Astyanax mexicanus: one gene and its partners. The protein of the gene in region 1 interacts with the protein of each later gene in a pairwise test. Links are inferred from orthologs where the notes say so. Each region holds a gene or a part of one and is shown in the gene's direction. Other genes may lie near its edges.

The links.
Region 2: the proteins of exosc8 (region 1) and exosc10 interact in binary tests that used the Homo sapiens proteins (3 or more experiments, as listed by UniProt). The link is inferred for Astyanax mexicanus from reciprocal best matches to the Homo sapiens genes EXOSC8 and EXOSC10.
Region 3: the proteins of exosc8 (region 1) and txndc17 interact in binary tests that used the Homo sapiens proteins (3 or more experiments, as listed by UniProt). The two-hybrid records come from large-scale screens. The link is inferred for Astyanax mexicanus from reciprocal best matches to the Homo sapiens genes EXOSC8 and TXNDC17.
Region 4: the proteins of exosc8 (region 1) and morn4 interact in binary tests that used the Homo sapiens proteins (3 or more experiments, as listed by UniProt). The two-hybrid records come from large-scale screens. The link is inferred for Astyanax mexicanus from reciprocal best matches to the Homo sapiens genes EXOSC8 and MORN4.

Annotation. Positions count from the first base shown.
Region 1 is NC_064427.1:39,561,292-39,568,409, forward strand, and holds the start of exosc8 (exosome complex component RRP43), read left to right. Parts: upstream 1-4,111; 5' UTR 4,112-4,181; coding exon 4,182-4,198; intron 4,199-4,473; coding exon 4,474-4,510; intron 4,511-5,215; coding exon 5,216-5,279; intron 5,280-5,925; coding exon 5,926-5,999; intron 6,000-6,088; coding exon 6,089-6,134; intron 6,135-6,221; coding exon 6,222-6,327; intron 6,328-7,118. Other genes in the region: alg5 (dolichyl-phosphate beta-glucosyltransferase), read right to left, coding at 107-275, 2,151-2,231. UniProt on the Homo sapiens protein: Non-catalytic component of the RNA exosome complex which has 3'->5' exoribonuclease activity and participates in a multitude of cellular RNA processing and degradation events.
Region 2 is NC_064419.1:17,930,819-17,937,963, forward strand, and holds the start of exosc10 (exosome component 10), read left to right. Parts: upstream 1-4,123; 5' UTR 4,124-4,188; coding exon 4,189-4,311; intron 4,312-4,526; coding exon 4,527-4,663; intron 4,664-6,781; coding exon 6,782-6,905; intron 6,906-7,145. Other genes in the region: serine/threonine-protein kinase mTOR, read left to right, coding at 575-680, 854-869. UniProt on the Homo sapiens protein: Catalytic component of the RNA exosome complex which has 3'->5' exoribonuclease activity and participates in a multitude of cellular RNA processing and degradation events.
Region 3 is NC_064425.1:13,474,196-13,481,748, reverse strand, and holds the start of txndc17 (thioredoxin domain-containing protein 17), read left to right. Parts: upstream 1-4,529; 5' UTR 4,530-4,680; intron 4,681-4,758; 5' UTR 4,759-4,785; coding exon 4,786-4,930; intron 4,931-6,513; coding exon 6,514-6,595; intron 6,596-7,130; coding exon 7,131-7,206; intron 7,207-7,397; coding exon 7,398-7,466; 3' UTR 7,467-7,553. Other genes in the region: p2rx8 (purinergic receptor P2X, ligand-gated ion channel, 8), read right to left, coding at 301-372, 513-663, 1,121-1,254. UniProt on the Homo sapiens protein: Disulfide reductase. May participate in various redox reactions through the reversible oxidation of its active center dithiol to a disulfide and catalyze dithiol-disulfide exchange reactions. Modulates TNF-alpha signaling and NF-kappa-B activation.
Region 4 is NC_064414.1:31,950,965-31,958,540, forward strand, and holds the start of morn4 (MORN repeat-containing protein 4), read left to right. Parts: upstream 1-4,566; 5' UTR 4,567-4,725; intron 4,726-6,056; 5' UTR 6,057-6,068; coding exon 6,069-6,135; intron 6,136-7,576. UniProt on the Homo sapiens protein: Plays a role in promoting axonal degeneration following neuronal injury by toxic insult or trauma.

The DNA of each region.
Region 1 (7,118 bases):
GATGTGCGAGACCATGACATAATTTCGATCGATTTCAATGAAATATTGAAATCGTGACACCCCTAAAAAAATACAGATAAGAAAGATATAGTAATAAACAGCTTACATCTGGACTCCTCGTTGTAGGACGGCACTACTACAGACAGCTCTCTTGAATGGGGGTCAAACAGACTAGGGAATGGCTCCTTGTTTCCTGAAGCTGTCAGAAAATATTTCTCCTGCTCTGCACGCGTCTGGTCCACCATGCTGGCTGTAACGTGGGCAATTACAATAACCTAAAGAAGAGGAGACAAATGAGATAGCTGAACCCAGCAGACACACTTCAGCAGAGCTTCAGCAAAGTATTACAAGATCTATATTAAGCTGCAGGGCTGGAGTTGAATAAAACTCCCCTAATAATAACCAGAAATGGGTGGAGTAGCCAGCGTATTGTTCCTTCAGTAATATAATGACAGGTGTTGAGTTCCCAACAGAACTGCAGTTAAAACAGCTTCATGAAAAATAAGTATACCATGGTTTCTTCTGAAATCTAGGGTAGTTAAATCTGAGATGACCCTGCTTTTGCTGGAATAACTGTCTCTAAACTCCAGATAATGCTTTTCATTTGATTTTAAGAAACCGCAGAAAAGATTTTATTTAGTCACAAAAGCATCATTAAATACAGTATGTATTTAATTTAATTACCCCACCTCATTTCACTCTTTTGCACATCTGTGTCAGCAAGGGTGGCAGCCTAAAGCAGCTGCATATATTTACTAGAAAGGGCGTCTCAAACATTTGGACATACAGATCCCTGTGTACAGCTCCCAAATCTTCTGGATTAATACAAAAGCCACTGTCTGACGAATTCCTGGAGGATTATAAAGGATTTCACCAAACCAAGACGCTGCCAGTAGTAGAAAACATGAAAACCAGGAACAGCCAGTTCTGAGGCGGCTTCTTCCCCCAGGCCATCAGGCTGCTGAACAGCCTGTAATAAAGTGTACCAGTCCACAGCCTATCACAGCTCATCTCACCTCTCTCACTGCTGCTCACCACAGACTCACTCTACACCCTGCACTTTACCTACAGTCCCACCAATACTTCTCCATCATCCAGAATACATACATCTGGAAATTTTTATCATGTTTTACTACACCCAGTAAATTTTTCACCAGAGTAATTGCATCAGCAGAGGCAGATTTTGCTATTGAAGTGCAAACAAGACTTTTTCACACTCTGTAATGAATGGATAGTTCGGTCTGTATTCTTTAAGTTCGATATGATTATAGTGGATACGATAAGAAGAAATATATCAATATATTGTCTAGCTTTACACTAAAAATAGAGGATCCTTCATCAATACAGTAAGGTGAGATTCATTCTCCTGAGATACAGCTCTGGCAAAAATTAAGAGAGCACTCCAGTTTCTGAATCAATTTCTCTGATTTTGCTATTTATAGGTTTATGTTTGAGTAAAATGAACATTGTTGTTTTATTCTATAAACTACAGACAACATTTCTCCCAAATTCCAAATAAAAATATTCTCATTTAGAGCACTTATTTACAGAAAATGAGAAATGACTGAAAAAACAAAAAAAAGATGCAGAACTTTCAGACCTCAAATAATGCAAAGAAAACAAGTTCATATTCATAAAGTTTTAAGAGTTCAGATTTTTTTTTTTTTTGTGGAAAACCCCTAGTTTCTTATAACAGTTTTCATGCATCTTGGCATCATGTTCTCATCCTCCACCAGTCTTACACACTGCTTTTGGATAACTTTATGCTGCTTTACTCCTGGTGCAAAATTCAAACAAGCAGTTCAGTTTGGTGGTTTGATGGTTTGTGATCATCCATCTTCCTCTTGATTATATTCCAGAGGAATATATTTCAATTTGTTAATATTAAAGAAAATCAATTCTAAGTGGTCTCTTAATTTTTTCCTGAGGTTATATCAGTCTAAATTGACTAAAAACAACAACTTTACAACGGGGATTGAGAAAAAACATAACTTTAATTGTAGAAAGATTTGTTTAGATCAGGACATTGACTAAATATAAATAAATATCTCAGCCAGAGTAAAAAATAGAGATCAGTGATCCAGGCAGAGGAGCTCCAGGCCCTCAGATTCTGTAAAATTTTGACAGAAACACCAAAACATTAAACTCACCAGGAGTAAGAGGAGCAGGAGCAGAGCTGCAGCGACCTGGAGGATCTGACACACACACTGATCCATCATCATCACCATCATCCTCTTCCTCTCACAGCCCAGAGACACCCCGCAACTACAGCCCGCTCATAGGGGGGAGTGAACAGGAGTTATAACCGGTATTAAAACGCCATGGCTGAAGTTCTTCCACCTCACAGTGAAACAGCACTGCGGAAATGACCCGCCGCTGCTCCACATCATCATTACAGCACACCGCCACAGCTGCTGCACCCCGAGCATGCGCACTTCACACCGCCATGATACAGGAGAAATCACCCCCCACCGATAGAGGGAGCCCGCGAGCGAGTCCTCAATGACTGGGAGTGAGTGAAGCTAAAAGGATAAAAACTAGCTGTATCTGTGTATCAGTGTCTAAAACTTGTTTAAAAATTATAACAATGTAATTCTCATAAAGAAATTTAAACTTAACTGTATAATAATAATTATTATTATTATTATTATTATTATTTTTACAGCAATTACTGTAGAAGTGTTCTTTAAGCACCACACTTATGTAACGTTAGACGTCCTAAAGTATGCATCATTTCTTTGTACTTAAAAGTAGTTTATTCTAATTTTACAACTCAAGTTCTGAAAGTAAATGTATTATATGTTATGCAGCTATTTATTACAGAAAGCAGTGAAAAGGTTTATTATCATATTGTAGGCAGTAGGGGTGGGCAATATTATATCATATACAATATATCGTGACACAGAAATATCATGATATTAAAAATGCATATCGTGATAATAGGGCTGTTCTGTCTTAAAAGTAGTCTATTATTTACTGTGAAGCTTTAGGTGTATTTATTGTATAATTGTTTTAGTTTGCAGTTTATATGCATGCACTAAATATTCTGCAATATTTTTGCTGCATTATATTATTTTATGCTATATTATTTATTTTGCCACATTATGATTATACTGTTATACTATTATACTATATTCCTGAAATGAATTAATTATTTTAGTTTTCCTATATCGCCAAGTATATCGTTATCGCAAAAATACCCTGAAATATCGTGATATTATTTTAGAGCCATATCACCCACCCCTAGTAGGCAGAAAGCACGAGGAAGCAGAGTAAAAGGCAGAACCGGAGCATCGAAGTCTTCTGATATGAAGATGACACTGCCATCTCCTCTTGTCGTTTATCACTGTCTCTTTGCTGTGAAGATGCTTGAAGTTAAGGAAGAAGACACCGCAGACACTGCCTTACGTGTAATAGACAATATCAACAATATCTTCAAGGCGGTCCAAGGCTAGGCCAGCCCTGAAGAGAGAAGTTGTTCAATTCTGATGTTCCTGCTCTCTCTTCTCCCCAGTTTTGGGGACCTGCTTAAATAGGGTATTATAGTATACATCTGTAAACACTGTAAACATGCTCTAGACATACACAGCCATAGGAGGAGTCTACCTAGAAGAATGGTCACATACTTTAGTGAAGAGAAATAAAGAGAATATATATATATATAAGCTGAAAATGTAGAGGTAACGCAGTTGAACACAATAGACAGTGACACCAAGTTGATAAAGTGCATAAAGTGAGGATAACTGAAAAAGCAAATAGACAGTTGTATAATTACTTTAGCAGTGCAAAAGATACGTAAACAGTAGATGAGTGAACTAGTGAATAAACAAGTTCTGCAAAATAGGGTAGAACTATGAAAATAGTTTAAATGGTTTTGTGTTAAGGAAATGAGAAACGTGAACAGTATTAAAAGAAAAACACTGATAAACTCTGATAAATTCTGATTTTGCTCAGCTGCTCCATATGAACACATTAATTTTGGAATCACTCTAGAGGGCCCTGTGGAAGAGACTCTGAAGTGGCCCCTCTCCTCTCTACAGGCTCTCTGATTACAGCACACGCCTCCAGACCGGCCCCGGTCCGGGGGAGGATTCTCAGCGCGCCCCCTGCTGGACTGGAAGACCCGCGTCCCCTTCTTCTGACGTCATCCGCCCTCTTCACGTGGTGTTTTCCTCAGCATCATGGCGGCGGGGTTCAAGTAAGTGGAGCGGACTGGAACTTACAGTTATATCAGCAGCAGCGGCGTGCTTTATTTATATAGTTATATCAGCAGAGTGCTGAATTTCTGTTAATATTACAGCTTAGGCTAAATATATAGAGAGTATATCTGGAGTATCACAGCTGACTGATCTCTCTTAATGTTGTACACGAGCTAATCTGTCCCTGTACTTGTTATTGTACTGCTCTTTTACTAAATAAACCAGATAGTGTTAATTATAAAACTGTCTAAATAAATTTAATGTGTTTTATCAGAACTGCAGAGCCTCTGGAGTATCACAGGAGCTTCTTGGTAAGTTTAACTACTTTATTTACTTCAGTACATCTACATGTACTCTACAAGACATGATCCAGTGTAGACACGTCCAGTTTTCTTTTTAAATCAGAGGTTATTAATAAAGATCTGTCCACAGTTTGCTGTACTAAACCGACTCTACTCTACTAAAAAAGGCCTGAGGTTGCAGTAAACAGGAACATAGCTGTGAGGAATTGATTGCATTCAGACATAACAATGTGCAGCATGTGAGACGTTTCAGGAACAGATTCGTTCACATTACAGTCAATATATCTCAGCCTCCCCCAGACTAAACTTCAGTTTGTTCTGGCCAAATCGTTATGCCTTAAGTGGTGTACATCACTATGATCACCCTGACCTAGGATGATGACTGGTCTTAACTTTTTTGAGGAGACTGCTCTAATCTTAAAACAGATGCCATATATCTCCTATACCATTTATATCTCAGATAGCCCATACAATACTGATTTAAATGTTTACTTTTCATTCAGAGAAGAGGTCTTGTCAGACCATAAAGTTTTAACCATGGTTCCATATGAGTCACTCAGAAGAATTAACCAAATATCATAAAATAAAACTGGAAAACATAGTGATCATGTTAGATATTGATTAAGATAAAATACTGATTTTATCAGTACTTTACTTTTGGAGATGTGGTGTATTTCGCTGTAGATTCACACAGTCCTGCTTCTCTTCATATAGAAAGAAAACTGCAGGCCAGATGGCAGAGAACTGGGAGAGTTCAGACCCACAACGTTAAATATAGGTAAGCTGTTGCGCATTGTTATAAATGTATGACTTGTATTCTGTTTTGGTGTATAAAGTGGATTGCAAAAGTATTCATACCCCTTGAACTTTTTTACATTTCACCGTAAAACTACACACTTTTTTTTATTAAGATTTTAAATGATAGACTGAAGAGAGACTATAAAGGAGATTCACCTTCCAGCAAGACAATGACCCCAAACATACAGCCAGAGCTACAGTGGAATTATTTAAATCAAAGAATATTCATGTGTTAGAATGGCCCAGTCAAAGTCCTGACCTAAATACTGCTGTTCACAAACGCTTTTCATCCAACCTGACTGATCTTCAGCTGTTTTACAAAGAAAAATGGGTAAAAATCTCAGTCTCTAGATGTGCAAAGCTCAAAGCTGGTCAAGACATGCCCAAAAGAAAGGTGGTGGCTCCACTAAGTATTGATAGGGGGGGCTGAATACTTGCATGTCACTTTTTTGCAGATGTCTTTTTGATTAAAATTTTAAAAACTATGTATTAATTTTATTACACTTCAGTTATTTGCTACTGTGTGGTTCAATCACTTAAAACCTCAATAATATACATTTATGTGTGAAAAGGTTGTGATGAATGTAAGATCTTAACTTTACATCCTGAAAATCCTTTATATGCAGGTTCGATTGGAACAGCTGATGGTTCAGCAATGGTGAAAATTGGAAACACTACAGTGATCTGTGGCATAAAAGCAGTAAGCAGCATCCCGCACTCCCTCAAATACTCACATATTGATCACAAATAAACATAACAAACACTTCAAAACTTCATGTTTTAAAACAGGAACTAGCCGCGCCGCCCTCAGATGCTCCTGATAAAGGATATATTGGTATGTTTGAGTGAGTTGTTATAATAATTATTAAAGGCAATCGTCTGTGAGGGTAACTGAAGTCTGACTGGCTCTTTCGTGTCTCAGTTCCGAATGTAGACCTGCCTCCACTCTGCTCGTCCAGATTTCGGCCGGGGCCACCAGGAGAGCAGGCGCAGGCCGCCAGCCAGTTCATCGCTGACGTCATTGATGGGTGAGATGAGTTTCTTTGTGTCAGTGACTCTAATTGGGACTTTGTGGTCAGATTCTTAAAGCTTTGTGAAGGTTAAAAACTATACTAATGGTTTTATGACACCATTTTCTCCCCAATTTACGCGGCCAATTACCCAACCCACTCATTAGGACTCCCCCCTATCACTAGTGATGACCCAACACACCAGGAGGGTGAAGACTAACACATGCTTCCTCTGATACATGTGAAGTCAGACACCGCTTCTTTTCGAGCTGCTGCTGATGATGTAGCATTAACGAGCAGCATCACAGCGCTAACACTCGGAGGAAAGCACAGCGACTCGGATCTGATACATCAGCTCACAGACGCCCTGTGCTGCAGACATCACCCTAGGAGTGATGTGGGGAGAGAGCGCCATCTACTGTACTGTACCCACCCGGAGGGAGCAGGGCCAATTGTGCTCCCTCTCAGCGCCGGCAGCTTGATGGTAAAGCTGCATGAGTGGGGGTTCGAACCCACGACCTCCCGCTCATAGTGGCAGCGCTTTAGACCGCTGGACCACTTGGCACCCCTTCCCAGTGAGTTTTGGAGAAAGTTTTTGGATGCAAAACACTAAAACTTAAAGGGAAGGTGGAACATCAGCAGTGAAGTCATTACCAATTAACACAGAGGTTCACTTACTTTTTCTAGCCTGCACAGTGGATGTTTACTCTGTGTGCTAAGGCTACGTTCACATTATAAGCCACACTGCTGAAATCAGATTTTCTGCTCAGACTGAATTTGGCTCTTTTGACAGTTCACATTCACTGTAA
Region 2 (7,145 bases), on another chromosome or scaffold:
TAACACTCCAGTTCAGACTTCCAGCTCCGACCCGGTTAGAGATCTCTCTCTTTCTCTCTCTGCACACACACACATGAACACACACACAGACAGGTGCTTTCCTGCCCTCCTGCTCCTCATCCCTTAGATTTTTATCCTCATCAAATTAGAAGCATCAAGTTAGAACTCAGAAATCCTCACAACCAATTTTAGAATCCAATTTATCATGCATTCTTTATTCCAGCACCCTACGTTGATTTTAATCCCCCCTCAAACATACAAGTATATACTATTATTTTAATTGACACCACTAATATACAGTAATTGCGTTTTATTTACATTTAATTATCCACTATAAAAATGTACGTCTGAAGAAAAACAAATGTGATTATTCGTATTTAATCACAGAATTTTGTTGTGATTAATCAGATTCAATTTCTTAATCGATTGACACCCTTAATTATTACTACACTCATTCAGATACTGTCTGAAACACTCACCAACTTCACAAGCTTCCCCACCAGGGAGCGCTGTAAACCCTCAGAATGCTGCTTCACCTCAGTCACACTGGACCTCTTGTTATTTCTCATTCTAGGACGGGACTTCTCCCATGATGAGACACTGGATGTCCCAACCCAAGTGGAGCTGCTGATCAAGCAAGCCACATCACACGAGAACCTGTGCCAATGTTACATTGGATGGTATGTAGTTGTCCATCCTCAAAAACACGTTTTAGAAGGACATTTGTCCAATTTAACCTGAGTAAATGATGTATGTAATTATGTACTTATGTACTATTTATATGGGTCACTCAGTGATTAATAATGAATTAATTTTATCAATAATAATTGTTTCTTCTTTTTTCTTTCCTCAGGTGTCCGTTTTGGTAGAGCTTCACTCAAGCTTTGTTTTGCTGTCTTTGTTCTTTGCTGATTCTCTATGTTCTACCGCTGCCATGTTTGAGTCCGCTGAATACGCTTAAGAAAAGAGATCTGTTGCATGAAAAGACATTTTAAAGTATGTCTGACTTTTATTAATTTAATAATGTTATACATAGAATTCTGCACAAAGTGGAGCAGAATACTTGATTGAAGGTGGTGTACATCTTTGCCAATAAATTTTAGAAAAGCCTGTTTTTGTTGCTTTTTTGAACACCTCTTGTGATGAATGTTGTTTTGCCTTGTATGTGACTGTAAGTAACTGTGTGCTTATAATATCCTGATGTGAGTTTTCTGGGGTGTCATATTTCTGTTATGAGTGGATTTCAAAAGAGTTTGAGCTCTTTATGTGTCCATTGTTTGATTTCATGTATGCAGTAATTTCTTCAACTTGGAACTGGTGGGTCTCTTTACATTGTGCAGCACAGGATAGAATTATTGTACGTGGGAGCAGGTCTACATATGCATGCACAAAAATCCTGTGAATTAAAAAATAGTCCATGTAAAATCATATAAATAACATAATAATAACCATGCATTAATAAAATAAGTGAAAAAGTGTAAATAACCAGTCAGAGAAAAAAAGTAACCAGTCACATGAATAACAAAGGAATTAGGCATCATCAGACTTTCTATATTTAAAAGACATGTTGTATCTATTTTTACACAAGTTAGAATTTATGTGAAGTGTATGTGCTATACAAAACGTGTTTGTTAGTGTTACATTGTGCTAATCTAAACGGCAAAACATGAGCAAGCTAGTTCATGCTTAACTTTGATATGAGCACAAAACTCATTATTTGAAAGTGCTTACATCTCCCTCCTCAGGTGACTGGTCACAGACAGCAGGAACAGATCCCTCCCTCAGTCGAAGTCTACTGACTAATCCTATTGTCTGAGTTTCTCAACCAAAATAAAAAAGAAATGGAGTTTCATATGGAGTGTTTATATGGGTAGTCAAGACTTAAGTGGAAATGCTTAAGCATGCAAAAAGTGAGTTTTGCATAGTATGTCCCTTTTAAATGTTTATCAAGAATAAAAGGAGTCTAACAATACATTTAAAGTGAACAGATGCCCACTACCCATATTAATTTAAAAGAAAATTGGTTATTTGTGAAGTAAGTTTTACTGCTGGTTGGACCATGATATAATTTTTAAATAATGAATGCAAATGGAAACTTTGTTGCCATGCTCTTTTAAAAAAGTAAATATCCTTAAAAGGTCACCTGAAAGTTCTTCATATCTTTCCAAAGAAAAATCCATTGAGATCATAGAACTGCCTTCGAAATGATTATTTCCCCAGATGCATCTGTACACTTTTCAGCATAATGACAAGCTGTACCCATTACAAAGGCTTGGCTGCAAAAGAAGAGGGTACAGTTATAAGACTGTTCTTCCTGCAGTCCTGAGCTGTTCCCACTAATGCGCAGACATTTTTAAATAAACAAAGTAACACTTCAAAATCGCTCAGTATTTTTGGTGCCAACTTTTATTTTAAGCGTTGTAAAAAGGAATTGTAATATATATATATATATATATATATATATATATATATATATATATATATATATACACACACAGCTGAGGTGGAAGAATCTGTCGACGGGACAACTGTAAGTCGTGCACTCCACAAATCTGGCCTTTATTGAAGAGTGGCAAGAAGAAAGCCACTGCTGAAAGAAAGACATAAAAAGTGCTGTCTAAACAGCAAACGTGTGGAAGAAGGTTCTGTTGTCAGGTGAGACAAAAGTTCAACTTTTTTGGCCTAAATATAAAGTGATTTGTGTGGCAGAAAAGTAACACTGCTCATCATTCTGAACACACCATCCCCAAAGTGAAACGTGGTGGCAGCATCAGCTGGGGCTAAATACAGGGCAGTCCTGGAAGAAAACCTGGAGGAGGCTGTAAAAGATTTGAGGCTGGGAAGAAGATTCAAGATAGTGATTCTAAACATACAGCCATAGCTCCATTGGAATATTTAAATGAAAGAATATTGATGTGTTGGAATAAGCCAGTTAAAGTCCTCACCTTAATACCACTGAGCTTCTGTGGCAAGACATGAAAATTGCTGTTCACAGACGCTCTCCATCCAACCTGGCTGGCTAGTATTCACCTGGCCGCAAGACAGACAACAGTTAGAAATGTTTTAAAATAAAGATTTTTTTTAAAAACTAATAACAGTCTTTGCAATGTCATATGCTACTTTACAACATGTGTAATTCTCTGCTAAGTGCAGATTAGCCACTGACCTAGTCTTAGAATCTCTGTATAACGGGAAATCCACCGGAGATCCTATGTAAATCCTATATTTACACACAGAGATGGGTAGTTCAGGTCCAGAAAGTAAAACAATTTTTTAATTTTTATTTTAACTAGTTTACATAACTGTTTTAAACATACACCTAGCTATCTCAATTGTACTTCGCTGGTGGTGTTCTATAGACAAATTCTAACCATTTGTTCCTTGGCTCTGAATTACTGGGTAAAGCATATAACACTGATGTGTTATTTGCACAAATAACACAGGAACAAACTGCCATGCTGTTCCTAGCACTGTTAGCTCCTATTTGATAAGACTGCATTGCTGCCTAGCATCAGCACTACCTGTGGGAGGTCGTGAGCCAAGGTGGGCAAGGCCATGAATACCAATTCACTGATTGATGTAGACACGGTACTTTTCCTGATCAACTTGTTTTTCTGAATATTTTCTTTTACTAGCTACTGCAGACAATGGAGGTTGAGGAAGAGTTTCATGTGCAGCATCATATACAACTCAGAGAGACCTACAGTATTGCACAAAGAACAAGAAATGTGGATTTTAGCAGAAGAACACCATTAAATTCTAAATGACTTAATTCATTTATTGCTGAGATATATAATAGAAACCCTCAGCCATACATGAAGATACATAGAAAATGAAAGTGGGTCATTTTTGTCCCATTTGTAAAATGAAATTAAAATACTGAACTATTTTCTAAAAGAGGGTTTATAGTTAATGCTTCTAAAGCTTCATGTTGGCCACTGCTGATCATTTTAATAATTGATGTGTCGATTCTTTTTTTTTATATCTATCGATTATTAATCGGAGAAAAAAAGAAAAACATATAAAATATGTGTAGTGTTTTAACTAATCAAGGGTCAGGGGAGCAGCGCGGTGCGGTTCAGCAGGTGGCGGTAGAGAGCGCGCGGTCTCTCTGAGACTCCCGAGAAGAAGACGGGTCTCTGCGCGTGCTCCGCTCCGCGCTGCTCTCGCGGGGTGTACTGGGTAGTGATGGCTGCGCCCGTGAGCGGAGAGAGCGGCTCTGGAGCCCGCGGTGACTCCGGCAGCGGAGCCCCGGGGGCGGAGAGCGGGGAGTTCTGCCCGGGGTTTAGAGATGTGGACGCGTTTGTGAAGGTGAGTAAGGCGCTCCGGTCCCCGGGGTTAACGAGCAGAGCCGCGGGTCTCCGCGCTGTGAGATAAACACGCAGCGGCAGCGTGGAGCTCCTCCTGCAGCAGCAGCAACGCTGGACTCGTGGTTCTGTTTTCATTAGCCGGTTAGCTTAGCGCTGTTAAATCTCTGACGGGTTAGCGGCTCCTGTTCTCTAATGAACTCTAACGGTGTTTTACAGCACGGACTGGGCACGGTGGTCTCCGCCACCAAGGCGGCCGGGGGTCTCCCTCAGCCCGGAGACGAGTTCGACTTCTACAGGAGTTTTCCTGGGTTTCAGGATTTCTGTGCTGTTCAGGGAGAGCGACTCTTACACTGGTGAGAGAGAGAAGACGGGCTTTAAACACTTAAATACATGTATTTATTTAATCTTACGTTACTGTCAATATTGTTATTGCTGATTCTGACTTAAAGCCATAGTATTGACTCAAGCTATAGACTGTATTACAAACCAAAAATCACATATAGCACTGTTTTATACTAGTAAACGCTCTCGTTTCTGCTCTTAGCTATGAAAAAAAAAAACTTTACTATTAGTAACATCAGATCTAACTGCAGGTCTGTAAACACATTCTGACTAGTCATATTACAAATAAAACAACATGTCCTTATCTATAATTACATTTTAGAAGTTAAAAAACTGTAGTCCCAAATACAGCTCTAGATAAAAAATTTGGATACATCAACTCATGAAGTTTCTAAGTGACATATAGTGAACATCCTGAAAGCATCACTACAAGACAGTGTGTGAATCTGTGTTTATTCGTTCATCTCACATTATTTACACAAAGTAGAAGTGCTGGAGATAAAATTGCTGGCGATATCCTTTTAAAGGAGTTTGTGTATTTTCTGCGTTTACAGGTCTGTTCCAAACATTTCAACGATTTTAAACGCTATAATTAAATGTTTTACATTCCATATAACTGGTTCTGACCTGATTTCTAGAACAGAATGTTAATAATAGTAGTTAATAATAGATTCAATTTTGAAAGTGAAAATGTCAATACTTAAAACAGCAGAATGTCATACAGTTCACTTTCTGCAGTACTATTAACATGATACTGATTATTTAATTATTTGAACACTATTTCTGTTTAATTCTAGGACTTAGACTTTAGGATTGTTGTTTTTACAGATAAAATATGTATGGCCTCTTGGTTAAATAGGAGGAAATGTAATAAAAGTAAAGCATGCCGTTCTAGGCACATATTTCTGAACTTGTAAAAACTCTCATATAATTGTATTGCACCAAATGGTTCTAAATACACTGCATGGTGCCTAAGACACAGTTTCATCACAGTGCTGAGAGCATTTTGGCTCTAAAACCTGTTTTTGAAATCAAATATCATTAAACAAATGTAACAGATATGTGCAAAATTTTCTGTGACAAATAATAATAGTCCCCAGTGACAAGGTATTGGTTCAGGCCTGTTCTCACACATTCAGATATTTTTAAAAACAGTGAAACCTGCAGTGCTATAAGCACACATTTCTTGATGAGAGCAGTTTACCTTTACTGGTTGGAGAGTCTGTTTGTGTTGTTTTGGTCTGTCAACTGAAATGTAAAAAATAAAAAGATCTGTGGGTTTTAAAGCCTAGTTTCAGAAGTGTTCACAGATGTAATCATTTGTGCTATACATACGGTAATATCCCTAATATCCAGCTAACACTACAAGGCTGGATGCAGCAGGAATGGCATTTCAGCTAGTTTTAGTTTATCACCATATTTATCATTGTTGTTATTCACTAATGATAATTAATCCAAAGAAGTGTCACTGGTAACCTCGCTCAGCTTGTCTGGGATGATATTTTCAATAAGTACACCAGTATAGGCTGTATAAACCAGATTTTCATTTTTAATAGACCATAAAAGACCACCACTAATGTGGGCATTGCATGGTTGGACCTTAGGTTACAGGGGGACATGTGTTCGGAGTGGGTTTGTACATATGTTTTCTGGGACCCATTTGGGCTTCAAAAATAGGCCCTATTCTTACATCCTATTTTAACCTCACATTGGTCCCATCTAGGATTTACGTGCAGTGTTATATCCAAATGGGGCCCAACTTTAACCCCTCCTGGTCCCATCACTGTCCCTGGTGGGGCTCATTACTGACCGACATAGAACCCATGGACAAAATCTTTTGGTTCCCTTACAGGCACCACATGGTCATGTTATCTCAGCAGTTACAAGGTTGAATTTTTACAAGGTAAACACAGTCTGGGCCGGTAATGGCAGCCTTCTGACGGAGGTTCCTGAACCTGAATTGTCCCAGTCAGCCTACTGATCGATCGGTAGACAATACAGTCAGTGGTATAAATCTAATATTATATGGGGTCTTCAACCTAAATATTCGTGCATGTGTGCATCTCTTTTACATGATTTTCAGTTGCTTTGATGTCTCATTTTGTTTTATAATGTTCTGCATTGTTCAGTATGAGTCAGCTGATGAAGCACCACGGCTGCAGATCACACATAAATGACAAAAACAAATTGACGGGACTGGAGGAGCGCTTTGATCTGGTCGTTGAGTCCAATGATGTCATCCTGGAGAAAGTGGTAGGAATGAATGCCCAATTTCTAAACTACATGTTTTAATTTAACACGTGTACACGGTTTACATGTGCCAGCTAGAGCTGGACGTTATAAACCATGATAAATTTTATCGTATCGATAAAGTGAACCAAGTGACCAAAAGTGACCAAGTGAACATTTAATTACAGGGAGTTTAGAAAATCCTGTTTAATTGCATGATGCGCTACATTAAAGTAATTGAAATGCAGTTTTAAGAATATATCA
Region 3 (7,553 bases), on another chromosome or scaffold:
TGATCCAATATATTGATATATTGTGTAACGTTAAGCAAGAGAAAATATACAAAAAACTTTCCCTCATATACAAAACATCCAAAAAAAAAAAAAGAATTTAACTTTATATCCAATCAGAACAGTGGGGTCAAAACACAGAGTACAACACTGCCCTCTAGTGGACAGAGTTTAAGCACAATACAAAATGAACCAGAGTATTGAGAGTACTGTTCAGAGTGTAATAAAATAAGTACTGGTATATAAAATGAAATAGTAAATGAATATAAAAACTTAACTGTTGTAGGGATTGTTTGGTCGTACCTCAGCACAATAGCCTAATTTCTGATTTGGCGTTTCTATGAAATTGGTTGTTATAAAAAGCACATCTTCTCCCTGCAGAAATGGAAAAATACAGTGTACAGTTTTTAATGTTTATAATAAATAGAAATGTTTCCATCTGTAATACAACGTTATAATTATGAGCTGATGATGTGACTGGTAAAGGAGGAACATATCCTCAGACCAGCTCTCACCTGCTGTGGGATTACGTAGTCCTCTGGCCCCCAGAGTCGAGGTCCAGTTCCTGAGGAGTTGGTGAGTAAAACCCCTTTAACTTTGGTGATGACTGAACTCTGAATAGATTCCTCAGTCTCCTGGTAGCCTTTCTTCGTCAGGAACACCCAGCTACACACACACACAGTTGTGAACACAGTTTGGAATCACTGTTTAACCTGTTTATTGATAATAAGTAGATTATTTAAATCAATAATTCTTTTTTTTTTGGGATGGTCAAAACAAAAGTGATCTACATGATGGTGCCCAAAGGCAACATTCTTTTTTTTATTTGATATAGTATGAATATAAACAGCCAATTTTGCTTATTTACATAATCTAACTCATATTAACAACGGCTTAACAACCACCTGGTAAACCACAACAACAGCACAGCACCCACTTAGCAACCACCTAGAGCACATTAGAGGTATTTCATTTTGGTATGCTGTACGTAAGCAATTGTAAATAAGATAATAAAGATCCAGAACTGTATTATACAATTGTAATGTAAATATATATTTAATTTTACCACACACACACACACACAGCTCTATCACAGGCTATAGATAACTCCAGCTGATCTTACCCGATGATATATCCCAGCAGAGAGAGCTGAATCACTCTGTACAGAATTCCCACTTTCTTATTCTTAGCAATAACATATTTCTCCGTCTTATAGTCGAAGGCAGAGAGCAGCACAGCCCTGAGGTCCACAGCCATGTCTCTGCTGTGAGTCTGTGCTGAGTGTCAGTAGCAGTGATGGGCCGGTCGCATACGATCCGGCTCTAAGAATCGACTCTTTGAAGTGAACTAAGGGAGTCGACTCCTGATGATAAACAGACTTGTCACACCTGATTGGTCTTTCCTTGCAGAATCTGTGACATGGATGCTTTCTTAACTAAATGTTTTAAACATTTTAATTCATATTATTTTAAGTGATGTTCTGTATATTCTGTGGTGTTTCGTTGTGCAAATTAAATAAAATACACAAACTGTGCAGCTTGATTTAAGGAGTGTCAGTGTGTCTTTGCTATCGTAACGATGGGAGAAGTACATAAAAAGTTCATAAAATAAAGCTTTTAAATGTGTTAATAGTAATAATAATAATAATAGTAATAATAATAATAATTATTATTATTATTATTATTATTATTATTATTATAACTAATTTTGTCATATTATTATTATTATTATTATTATTGTTATTATTATTTTTATTATTATGATCGGGAGATCGCTTGTTTGAATCCTGGACATGCAGCTTGCCATCAGCTGCCGGAGCCCTGAGTGAGCACAATTGGCCTTGCTCTCTCTGGGTGGCTACATGGCGCTTTTTCCACTCATCAAAATACAGAGCTGATGTACCAGAACCGAGTCTCTGTGCTTTCCTCCAAACATGCTGGCTACTCGGCATCAGCAGCAGTTTGAAAAGAGCCGGTGGATGACTTCCCATGTCAGAGGAGGCATGTGCTAGTCTTTACCCTCCTGGTGTCACATGTGATGGGTGGGACAATCGGCCTAGCTAAATTGATAAAAAATAAATGGAAGGAAATTAGGCATCTTTAAAAACATGTGTGTGTGTGTGTTTGAGATCCTGGCATGTTTCTACAGGTTTTGTTGATTATCTTGAGCCACAGGGATTCACAGGAGCAGAGCAGAGCTCCAGTCAAGCTCACAGTGGGAGAGTCACATCCTCTCTGTCTTTAACTGCTCACCATTCCCCTGGTGATCCCTGGTGAACTCGTCTGCCTCTGGAGCTTTAAAATATGAGTAAACACAACCGTAGTGCAAATAACACAGGCCTGTTTATAATACAGATAAGTCTGATAAGACTTGATTAAAGTTTATCTAAGGCTGTTAGAATCAGGATGAGTATTTTATATTAATTACAATTTTCCTTTGTCAGTTTCAGTTATTTTATTAGAGGTTCAAAATGTTAACCACTTCTCTAGAAAATGTTTTTTTTTTTCCTACATTGTAAATATTCTGGTGTGTTTAACACTTTTTTGTGTACTAAATAATTTCGCATGTTTTTCTTCACAGTTTGGATTACTTTAGTACGGAGCCCGGGAGGGGCCGTGGATAAAAAAAACAATTAAATCGAGTGAACGATGTAGCAGTTCGTGCTCACGTTTTCTTTAATTCGAGTGAACGATTTGCAATTCGTGCTCACGATTTCTTTAATTCGTGCTCACGATTTCTGTAATTCGTGCGCACGATTTCTGTAATTCGAGTGAACGATTTCTGTAATTCGTGCTCACGTTTTTATGCAATAAGACAATAAGCTGGGAGGGAAAGGAGCATTTTCTCTCTTGATCTGTTACAGGGGTGCAGTGATGATAATCAGTTATCTACCTTTATAACCTGCTGATATTAATGCACTAGTGTTACAGTTAGATGTACAGTACAGTGAGCAGATTTTGCCTGGTGGTGGAATCTCTACAGCGCGTGGGGGAGAGCCGTCCGCGGCACGGGTTCCCTGGCCGCGAGCGCAGGTCTTCACGGAGCTTATTTACCAACAATATAGACAAATATAGTCAATTCCAGTCATGATTAAAGGAAACAAACATTACTAATGCAGGGTAACTGTGTGTTATTAAAACCAGATCAAAACAAAGTTATAATGCAATGTGGAACTGTTTATAATTTCTTATTTTCAACAATAGTATAACGTAAAGAAGTATAATTATATAAATATACAGCTATAAGACTTAGGTCCAAATGTACACTGTAAAAGTTAATAAAGATAATACAAAATTAATGCAAGGTGTGACAGTTGTCTATGAATGGCTCATATAAGAGCTGCTTTAAATATGTAACACTATATAAAATCAAAATAGCTGGTCTAAAATACTATTAATACAATGTATTAAGATATTTAGTAAATAGGCATTTCATATAATAATTTGGATCAATTTGATAATTTATTCCAATATGTTTCCTAAAATAATTAAGTTTCTATATCTGATGAAATGTCCTGAATATCTGCTTATTCTCAAATCACAGTGTCCTGCCCAGAAACATGCCACAAGCTTCAAATAAAAAAAATATAATAATTATAAACTTCTTAAATGTATATTTTCTGAATTATGTGTTTATTTATTATACAAATTATTAAAATATAGATTAAATCTATCATAAAAGTAATAATGATGTAACCAGATTTAAGAAGGTGTGCATTTCCTTGGAGGCTGGCTGAATGTTATTTAGAAATTAATAAACACATTTGCACATTGCATTATAACTTTGTTTTGATCTGGTTTTAATAACACACAGTTGTCCTGCATCAGTAAAATGTTTGTTTCCTTTATTCATGACTGGAATTGACTGTATTTGTCTACATTGTTGGTAAATAAGCTCCGTGAAGACCTGCGCGCGCGGCAGGTGTCTGGCGGCGGGGGAACCGATGCCGCGGACGGCTCTCCCCCACGCGCTGTAGAGATTCCACCACCAGGCAAAATCTGCTCACTGTACTGTACATCTAACTGTAACACTAGTGCATTAATAACAGCAGGTTATAAAGGTAGATAACTGATTATCATTACTGCACCCCTGTAACAGATCAAGAGAGAAAATGCTCCTTTCCCTCCGAGCTTATTGTCTTATTGCATAAAAACGTGAGCACGAATTACAGAAATCGTTCACTCGAATTACAGAAATCGTGCGCACGAATTACAGAAATCGTGAGCACGAATTAAAGAAATCGTGAGCACGAATTGCAAATCGTTCACTCGAATTAAAGAAAACGTGAGCACGAACTGCTACATCGTTCACTCGATTTAATTGTTTTTTTTATCCACGGCCCCTCCCGGGCTCCGTACTTTAGTAATAATCAACAAACCACTTAATTAAAAGGTCCTGTAGATCAGAGAGTGTTCCCGGGAGCGGTAAGCTGATTGGACCTGTAGATCAGAGAGTGTCCCCGGGAGCGGTGCTCTGATTGGACCTGTAGATCAGAGAGTGTCCCGGGGAGCGGTGTTCTGATTGGACCTGTTTGCCGAGTGAGGTAGTACGGGTGCTGAGAGGGCTCAGACGCGGAGCTGCGGTTTGGCGCATGTGAGTGGAGAGAGGAGCGGAGCAGAAAACGGGACTTTTATTATTATATTCTATATTTTATTATAAGAGATTTTTTTCCGGGGAGCTGAGGTGAGTATGAGCTCGGTGCTGCAGGGCTGTGCTGATCTGTAATAGTGCAGTTTAATAGCTGGATCTGTGGTTCTGCAGGATCTGCTGGAGGTACAGAAGGGAAGTATGGCTCAGTATGAGGAGGTGAAAGTCCGCGGGTATGAGGAGTTCTGTAAAACTGTGTCTGACCGAGCAGGAAAAGATATATTCGCTTATTTCAGCGGAGACAAAGATCAGCAGGGGCAGAGCTGGTGCCCTGACTGTGTTAAAGGTGGGCTTATCATTTAAATATCTATCTAAGCTAATAATACTATTATCATTGGCTCATTCTGTGAACATATACAAGTGTATCTATTATCATTTCAGTAATTCAGTTCAAAATGTGAAACTTATATATTATAAAGATGTATTAACTTACACACAGACTGAGATTACAGCCAATAAAACCTCAAAAATCAGTGTAAATTAGAATATTATATAAGATCAAACTTTTGGCAGTGTAGGCCAAGTCCTGCTGGAAAATGAAATCTGCATCTCCATAAAAGTTGTCAGAAGAGAGAAGCATGAAGTGCTGTAAGATTGTCTGGAAAAGCACTGCACTGACTTTGGACTTGATATAATACAGTGGATCATCACCAGCAGATGACATGACTCTCCAAACCATCACTGATTATGGAAACTTCACACTAGACCTCAAGAAGCTTGGACTGTGTGTCTCTTCCAAATAAAATGAAAAATATACTGATGGTTAATGATGACTTGGAGAGCCATGTCATCTGCTGGTGTTGGTCAACTGTGTTATATAAAGATAGTCCAAAGTTTCATATTATGGCAAGAACTACTTAACAAAGTAAAGGAAGAATTCTCAAGTGCAGTCGCAAAGACCTACAAAAATGTTATAATGATGAAACTGGCTCTCATAAGGACCGCCCTAGGAAAGAAACACTGCATAGTTATTAGCACCCCAGATGAGAACACCTAAATCCTAATTCCTTATATGTTCCTTTATAGTCTGGGTCACTTCACTCTTCATTTACATTGTTAAAACATTGAATGAGAACATGTGTCCAAACGTTTGATTGATACTGTTAATATAATATACTAATTATATAAGAAGTGTATGTGCTTTTCTACAATTATAACTTCAATAATGTACATGACTATTAAAATATAGGGTTCATATGACTCATGTAATACATTTTGCCACTATATTATAACATTATATCACTTATTGAATTATTATGTTTTGTGGAAGTCAGATATTGCGAGCTAGTCTCGTAGTACAGTAGTTATCTGTATCAGTATTTTTCATTGCTGTCTCAAGCCGAGCTTTAAACAGGATCAGGCATGAAGCGTGTGGTAATACTGGTATCCCATCTGACAGTAAATTGACACTTGCAAAACTGAAACCCATTCACCCCCCCCCCCCCCCCCCTATATATCAGCCTTGAGTTTATGCTTTTATGTAAAATCTATTTTAAAGTCAAGCAATTTTACGATGATTTAACCAATAGAAATGCTCCAAAATTACTTAAATTTCTGCTTAATGTTACAGCGTTTTTTCCCTTCTACTTTAAAATTTTTTGTGGGACAGCAGAAGGCCATTTATAATGAATATTAAAGCACATCATTATAAAACCTCAAATTATTTTGAACCACCATCCACTCTGAATGTTTTGACACTTTGACCCCCGGCTGTAAACAGGACCTGTGTCTACAAGCAGGTTAAAGATTATGAGAGATCCTGTTTAAAGCTAAACAGAAAAAGAGAAATCTTCCATGCATCATTGTGAAGCACTTCAGACGCAGAAGATGAGTGTAGTTCCACTTATTTTCTTTTCTTCTTTGCTTCAGCTGAGCCAGTGGTCCGTGGGGAGATGAATCATCTTCCTGAAGGTTCCGTCTTCATTTACTGCCAAGTGGGAGATCGGCCTTAGTAGGTGTTCTTGTTTGTGTTGTTGTGAATTCAATCCTTTTAATGAAGTTTAATGAATAGTGCACACTTTTTTTAATTTATTTACCCTTTATTTACCCAGTTTGCCAATTTGGTTGCACAGTATACATTGGTGTAAAAAGTATTTGCCCCTTTGATTTTTTTTTGCCATTTTCTTTGGATTATCAAAAAACTTCAATATCAGACAAAGATTGAACTTTAATATGAGAAAAATGGTTGTGTCACCCTTGGTAGCACAACCATTTTTCTCATATTAAAGTTCAATCTTTGTCTGATATTGAAGTTTTTTGATAATCCAAAGGTTATTGGGTTTAGGAGGCAAATACTTTTTCACACAGGGCTAGATTGGTTTGGATAGTTTTTTCCTTTAATAATTAAAAGTAAAAATAAGTGCTTTTTATGTTTACTCTGGTTTAATATTAAAATTTGTTGGCAACTGTAATTGCAATTAAAACAAAGAACTCTGAAAACAAAAATTGAACACTGTTTTGAGTCACTGACTTCTTCTGTTTTTCAGCTGGAAGGACCCAAACAATGAGTTTAAGAAAACTCTCAAACTCACTGGGGTCCCAACTCTGCTGCGCTATGGCACGGTAATGATCTGTTAATGTATTTTTATTGTTTTCTGTGATACTCCAATAAAAAATCTATCATATTTAATTTTATTGGGATCTAATGTTTGGCTAAAGTCTAATTAAAGTTTTTGTTTTGCCGCTGTGGTGTGTCTACATGAAACTAACGCTACATTATTAATGATTGGTGTATGGTATCGTGTAATTTGCAGCCACAGAAGCTGGTGGAGGAACAGTGTTTCAAAGCAGACCTGGTTCGGATGATGTTCACTGAAGATTAACGTCTCAGACGGCAATATTTTTATATAAATGCAAACTCTAAAATGCATCTCAAGATATCTGATCTATTGTGTGCCTTTTTTCAATGT
Region 4 (7,576 bases), on another chromosome or scaffold:
CTATGAATATAAATATAACTATGATATATGGTATCACTGGAGATCAGGTACTCCATAATGGAAATTCAGTATATGGGGCATTCCTTGACCACAGTGAACAGTAAACAGTGTAAATGCATGTATGACCCATTTACAACACTGTAAATGCTCACAGTTGTGAGGTGTTACATTGTGAATGAAGCTAAATACTGGCCAGTGTGCTCATAGCAACGCAACATGAATTATCAGGGTCTGAGTAAAGCCTGATTGTGGCTGTCGAATGGATGTGACATTCTAAAATTCATTCTGAATTTTCCAAATTAAAAACCTTTGGAATATAATCTAGAGGAAGATGGATGATTACAAGCTTTCAAACCAAGCTGAACTGGCATAAAGTTATCCAAAAGCAGTGCGTAAGACTGGTGGAGGAGAAGATGCCAAGATGCATGAAAATTGTGATTAAAAACCAGGGTTATTCCACCAAATATTGATTTCTGAACTTAAAACTTAAAACCTTATGAATATGAACTTGTTTTCTTTGCATTATTTGAGGTCTGGAAGCTCTGTCTTTTTTATATTTCAGTCATTTCTCATTTTCTGCAAATAAATGATCTTATGATTGACAGGTAGAACCTGGAATGATTCTCCAACTGTCCTACAGGAGTTATAGAGGTGCTGAGTTCTTGTTAACTGCTTTTCATTTACTCTTAGCTCCAAACCTGTCCTAAACCACCTGTGCTGGGTTTTTATGTCAGCTGTTGGTGAGGGCTAAACACTTTTTGTCTACTATCTAACTGCACATGTGTTCCTTCAAACTTTTGACTGTCACTGTGATGCAGTTTCTTAGAAAGGGATAATGCCTTGGGATAAGGCCTTGGGCTACTACACAGCATTTTTAACTAAGATTTTCCATTGAAAGGCAAATATAATCTGCGACTAGGCTTAATCATTGTCCAGAAATCCAAAACCCAAAAGGTTCCAGTGCTGTTACCCTCTCGTGCTGGAGTCTCACCCCTGACAAATATACATGTAAATAAATAATGCTGTACAAACAGAGATATTTATCCTAATAAGTAATCTGACAGTTGTGTTATTGAGAGAGATTATCATATAATGTCCTGGTTTACTGAGTGCTGGACTGGGAGATTCAGCATTGGTCAGCGTGACAATATGACAGCATAACCCTCCTCACCTTGGTTTGAACGCATGGTTCACACACAACAGCCCTTGTGTATGTTCTGCCATAGAGAGAATTATGGGTCAATTAAGCCTCGGAGAGAGAGATGACCATCAACAACCTATGTTCCACCCCCCATCCTGCGAGAAGTTGACCTTTGTGATTTTTCTTGCAAGGAGAGCCGACTCACTTTGTAGGTGTTTGTGTGGGAGCACTTTGTGTGTACTTGGTGTGCGTATTATGGCGCGCTAAATGGTCGCTCGTGTGTAGTGATGCTTGCATGACCCATCCTGTCACTCTGGGGCATATGGAGCCGACCGCCCATTTCCCTCGGGAATTAACACCATGCTGATTTACTACCAGTGAAGGGCAGTAATCACTAAAGGAGGCCAAATTAGTCTCCAATTTCCCCAGTGTGTGTGTGTGTTATGAGTTGGGAGACTAAAAACTGAAGGTCAAGAGAAGGAAAATTGTGTGTGTCTGTGTGTATTCAAATATCTGGACAGAAGATTTCAGGAACAGTCATGAGGCTTTGAGCCATTAGTTTCACAGCCTCATGTAATTTGCCATATTACCTTTTATATACATTTTTTCTACCTGAATCTAACAGCCTAATCCCTGCTAAAATGTACAGCACCCTTCTTTCGAAAATAAGCTCATGTGATGTGTGGTCATTTGCTCTCGTGATGCTGTCCGTGTTTGATTTACAGCCCCATATATTTCATGGTTGTTCTACAGCGAGAACCACTCATCTTCAGTATTAAAACCAATACATCTCAAGGGTGCGATTTTTATCGACGTTTCCCATTACCAGCTCTTCACGTTTATAGAGGAAGCCATAAATACCCAGTCCTGTTTAAAATGTTGATGGTTCTCTCTGGTATGAAGAGATCAATTGTCAAACGTGTTGAGTTAGTATCATAAAGGCAGGTGGGTCAGATGCACTGAGAAATAGGCTCACTAACTTTCAGCAGAGGGCTTGGGTAGCATGCATTAACGTCATATAAGATATGTTTAAGGGACAAAAAGGTCACAGAATCAGTTAAAGCATGCCACATTATTTTATTCAGGTTTAAAATGTAATAGAAATAATATTAGCTAATAGTAACTGTGCACTTTTTTAAATAAAATTAAACATTAAAAGGTTCATCACTAAGTGTCTGACGCCTAGACACTTTCAGAAATATGAAATGTCCATAGACAAAATTGGTTGGAATTTTCATAGTTTTGGTAAAATTCATCTGTGCTTTGCACTGATCTTTTTCGAACAATTTGTCCACGCAGACTATCAGTTAATTATCTGTGCAGGATATCGGCTATAACTACAGGGTTTGTGGTACTTTGTGTTGGGAAGTAGTGCAATTTGTGTCAATGTTGAGGCCTTGGAAAACAGTCTCTCCCATGTCTTCTTCTTCCTCATGAATGTGGGATGAAGTTGATGGTGCAGCTGTGAATCTAGTCTATTTATTTCACATTTTTTCATGTAAAAGTGCATCACATAGACATTAGGAGGGTGCCATATTCAAAAATCTAAAAGGTGATGTGTGACCATTTAATAACAGTGTTAGCATATTAGAGGAGGTCACTAGGAACAGCTCAGTGAGGGACATTCACTCACTAAGACCTTCATCAGTGGAGGCATCCTTGGGAAGAGGCTTAGAAATTTGATGAAAGGCACTTTAAGGGAGAAAAGAAAATACAATATGGTAAGAGTTAGCGCTACCATATTTTTTTCAGATTTTCATATGTAGAAGCAATGCTTAAAAACACCCCAAGCTAACGTTTATGTTTAGAACACACTTACTATTTGCAGGTTAAGCACTGAAATTTAGACAGCCACACATGATGCTTTAAAGATGTGCATGGATTCTACAAGACATGACTGGTCCAGTCTGGTTATATGATGCACAGAGTATGCCTAGCTAAATTGGGAGAAAAATGGGAGAAAATTAGAAATAAAATTAATTAAAAAAAAAAAAATCTTTCACGGAGCCCCTAGGGTGACATCATTAAAAAAAATCGTGGCCATGACTTATTAAGGCATGGAAACAAGATAATTAAGTTGTGGGGACCACTTTATTAACCCTTTATGGCATGATTGTTATCTAAATAAAAATAAATGTGTTTAAAAAAGGTTCCAAAAGAAAAGGAATCTCCTGAAATGTGGTATGTTACGTTTTTTCTTCCCAAAATGATAAATCGTGCCATAAAAGGTTAAGGCTTGGAAACAAGAAAATTAAGTCCTGAAGATAGAAGTCGTCCCTAAGACGACTTACCACATCTTAAAAAGTCATGGCCATTGTGGGAAATAAGTAGCTAAACCATAAGTAAATAATGGGCATGGGCCCTTTACATGTGTATGTATATCCTATAACCATATTGTTAAGGCTAAGCTAAGCTTTTTGTCAGTCAATCTCAGTGCGTGTTACTCAGGCAGTAAACCCTTTCAGGGAGGCGATTAAAGCCGTGTTTTCTCTCGTTTCTATCTGCTGAGCCGCCGGCACAGCTCCAGGACTGCACACGGTAGCCGCCGATTAATCTCCTGCCCGACAAATGCGATCACATTCCTTGACAGACGGGCTGCGCTGAGCGGGGGGGTCGGTAGTAGTGGAGCCCGCAGCCAATCAGCACGTGGGTTAAAAGCTTCCCTGTGAGAGAAGAGCAGAGTTGCCAGGTTCGTGGTTTTCCCGCGAAATTGTGCTTGTTTGAAAATCCAGTCGCAGGTAAAAAAAAAAATTAAGTTGTGGCGGGGTGCGTTTCTTTGGGGCTACTTAAAAAAATTACCGCGGCCGTGGTACCATTGAATTTTTATTTATTTTTGACATTTATTATGCAGCCTTTCCAATTTTAATTTTATTTTTGTCACATATGACTCATGCTTAAGTGAAAAAATAAATTGCAAATGAAGTGATTTCATATTGTTTTTAATTTTGCCATACTATTTTGAGACATAGTATTTAAACAAAAAAAATTTGCATTTTCATTTTAATGTTTTCGTTTCAGTTTTATTTTTTTCCAGGATTTACCTCCAATACATAACGACATAAAGGACAGCATTAAAAGGAGAGCGGGAGAAAAAGAAAGAGTAAAAAAAAAGAGGATTCAGGAGGGGCAAGGAATAAAAAGTATTTTTTTGTGCTAATTATGTTAACTATTAAATGTTCTTGACTGAGATATAAAATTGTTATAAAAGAAATAATAAAACACTAACGTTACAATATTATTCATCACTTTAAGATAAGTAGCAATACTGGTAATACATTTCTTATAAACAAAATATTAAGTCGTACACTCATAGTTGTTTTGCCATTTGCTTCGAACGTGTGACAGACATATTTTGGGCTAATTTAAGCTTTTGAAGGGCGGGTTTTAGAATGACTTTGGGCTGGATATTTTTGTTGAACCTGGCAACCCTGCTTCCCTGTGAGAGGAGAGAAACACAGACAGGCAGCAGGCAGGCTGATTCTGTCCTCAGCCCCACACCGCGGCTCATTTTCCCCCCTGAATCGACCTGCTCAGCTCCTCCAGAAGAGTTTTCATGCTTGTGAGAAAACGAGGACATATTACAGGTGCGTAACGCTGTTTTTCCTCAGTGTGAACCGGCTGAAGCCCCTGAGATCAGGGCTATTCAGCTGCCTGGCTCCTGTTGTGAGAAAAGACTTGCGGTTGGTAGTCCAGGTCCGGAAGTTAAAAATCCGTTACAGGATTTCATTTCTGCTGCATGGACTGCTCAGCTGCAGCAGCGCAGTCCAGGCAGTAGGAGTGAAAGCCTGAAACGGATTTTTACTTTCCGGACCTGGACTACCAACCTCTAGCACAGCCACTATATAAGACTAGATATTCATCATTTCTGTACAACTTGTTCTTTTTTAAATTACAACAGTTTAGCACCTTTATTTTCGCTGTTTTCTTCATATACTAATTCTGAAATGGGAAAAATTGAGCAAAATCTATAAAACCTAGCTAGCTAAGTAGCCATTATTATATAACAGCTTTATTCAGCTAATTGAACAACAGGCTTGATCAAATCTCATAATTTAGGTATCTCAGGTTACCTAGCTAGATTAGTTCATTAGCGTTATATAACATTTGGTGACAGCATAGTGTGATAAATTAGCCTAATAAACCTCATAACTAGGTTAAATCATCTCAGCTATTGAAAAAAAAAAAAATTAAACCAAACACAAACGTTTTGGTGACTGCTGAGTGTCTTTCCAAGGATCAACACATCCAAACAAAATACTACTGGTCTAGTGTCAATGAACTATTGTGAAATTATCAACTAATAATATAAAAAAGGTAGTAGCCAGTTAATTTATCAGCTAGCTAGCTTAGCCAGTGACCAAAAAAAATAAGAGACCACTTTCTGAACCAGTTTCTCTGATTTTACTATTTATAGGTACATGTTTGAGAAAATGAGTTGTCGTTTTATTCTACAAACTACGGACAACATTTCTTTCAAATTCCAAATAAACATATTGTCATTTAGAGCATTTATTTGCAGAAAATGAGAAATGGCTGAAATAACAAAAAGGATGCAGAGCTTTCAGACCTCAAATAATACAAAGAAAACAAGTTTATATTCATAAAGTTTTGAGAGTTCAGAAATCAATATTCGGTTGGATAACGCTGGTTTTTAATCACAGTTTTTATGCATCTTGGCATGTTCTCCTCCACCAGTCTTACAAACTGCTTTTGGATAACTTTATGCCACTTCTGGTGCAAAAATTCAAGAAGTTCAGTTTGGTTTGATGGCTTGTGATCATCCATCTTCCTCTTGATTATATTCCACAGGTTTTCAGTTTGGTAAAATCAAAGAAACTCCTAATTTTAAGTGTTCTCTTTTTATATCTGTATGATAGGCAGGTGTTTCTGTACTGAGGAGTGTTTATTTTTGCAGGTTGGTGGAGGTATGACACTGACGAGGGGCTCCTTTACTTATTCAACTGGAGAAGAGTACAGTGGGGAATGGAAGGAAGGCAAGTTATTACTGTATCTATATTAAAATCATTTTTTGTCTATGTAACTGCCATTTTACTGGCATTCACATTACAGTGGCAGCTGCAACATTGCCTTTTTAAATCTGTTTAATTCTGTATATTTATACAGAATTAATATATCTACTGATTGCTGCAACAATTAGTTGATATAATCAAATGTCCATTGTCGACTAATCATTAATTTGCAGCACAACACACAGTTTACACTCAACTCTGCCTGTGTCTCCAAAAATGCCTAAACACAAAATATTATGTACTTCCTCACTAAATTTCAGCACTGTCTAGATTTAAAGGACAATGTTCTGGACATTTTTAATCCCATGTTTAGTTGTTTCTATCGATTTTAAGCAAAGACAGAGAAATCTTGAAACAGGAGCCGTACTCACTCAAGCGGAGATGGAGAATAGCATGGCAGAAATAATCCTTGACTAATTGACTAAATCGAAAAATAATCGACAGATTAATCGACTATCAAAATAATCATTAGTTGCAGCCCTACTCATTACTAAGGCTAGGTTTCTCCGATTAAATAATCCAACATCCATAGAAAACATATTGATCTATGAATTTTGCCTATTTTGGAAAAAAAATGTCTGGTGTGTGCTCTTATTACTAAGGCACTTATCCTTGTGCAGTTTGTGCAGCATTCTCATACATGGGATACATGTAATTATGCTGTTATTTATGTAAATAATGATGTTGGATTATAAAAGTATGTATTTAGAAGTTGCAAAGTTTTTGTGATGTTATCATATTAATACGGTGAGGACACCTAATTGGAATTAGCAATTTAACTGATACGTAATAGTTAAATGTAGGGCTGCAGCTATCGATTATTTTAGTAATCAAGTACTATACTGAAAAATCGATTCAATTAATCGAGTAATCGGATAAACCATATTTGCTTGCCCAAAAAGCAATTTAAAAAAGTGAAACAAGAAAGAAATTTCATTTAATAATGAATGACCAGTTGGTTTAATTTTTAAATTCACAACATACATTTCCACATTGCAAACACAAATAGAAATAAATAAAACGCAAAATAGACATAAAACTTTTAATACTTACATTTATTGTAAGTATTAAATATAGGGAATAAATCAATAATAGAGGCATAAACATGGATTGGATAAGCTCGCTGCATTCTTTTCCCACAAAGTCAGTGGACAGGGGATGTTTTCATATTAAGCAACACTGATGGAAATCTTATTGATTTGTTATAAGTTAAGTTTACCTGCTCTCTTCACTCCAAAAACCTCCGTCTTCTCCACCTGCGTCCTGTGCGTGGGTGACGTAACGCTTAGCGCTTTTTCACATTAAAAGTCAGCGCTAAATTCCGTGCTTTGAGTTTTAAAATTAAATAAACGATTCCTCGAGGCACAGAAAATTAATCAATCAATTTTTTAAATCAAGTTACTCG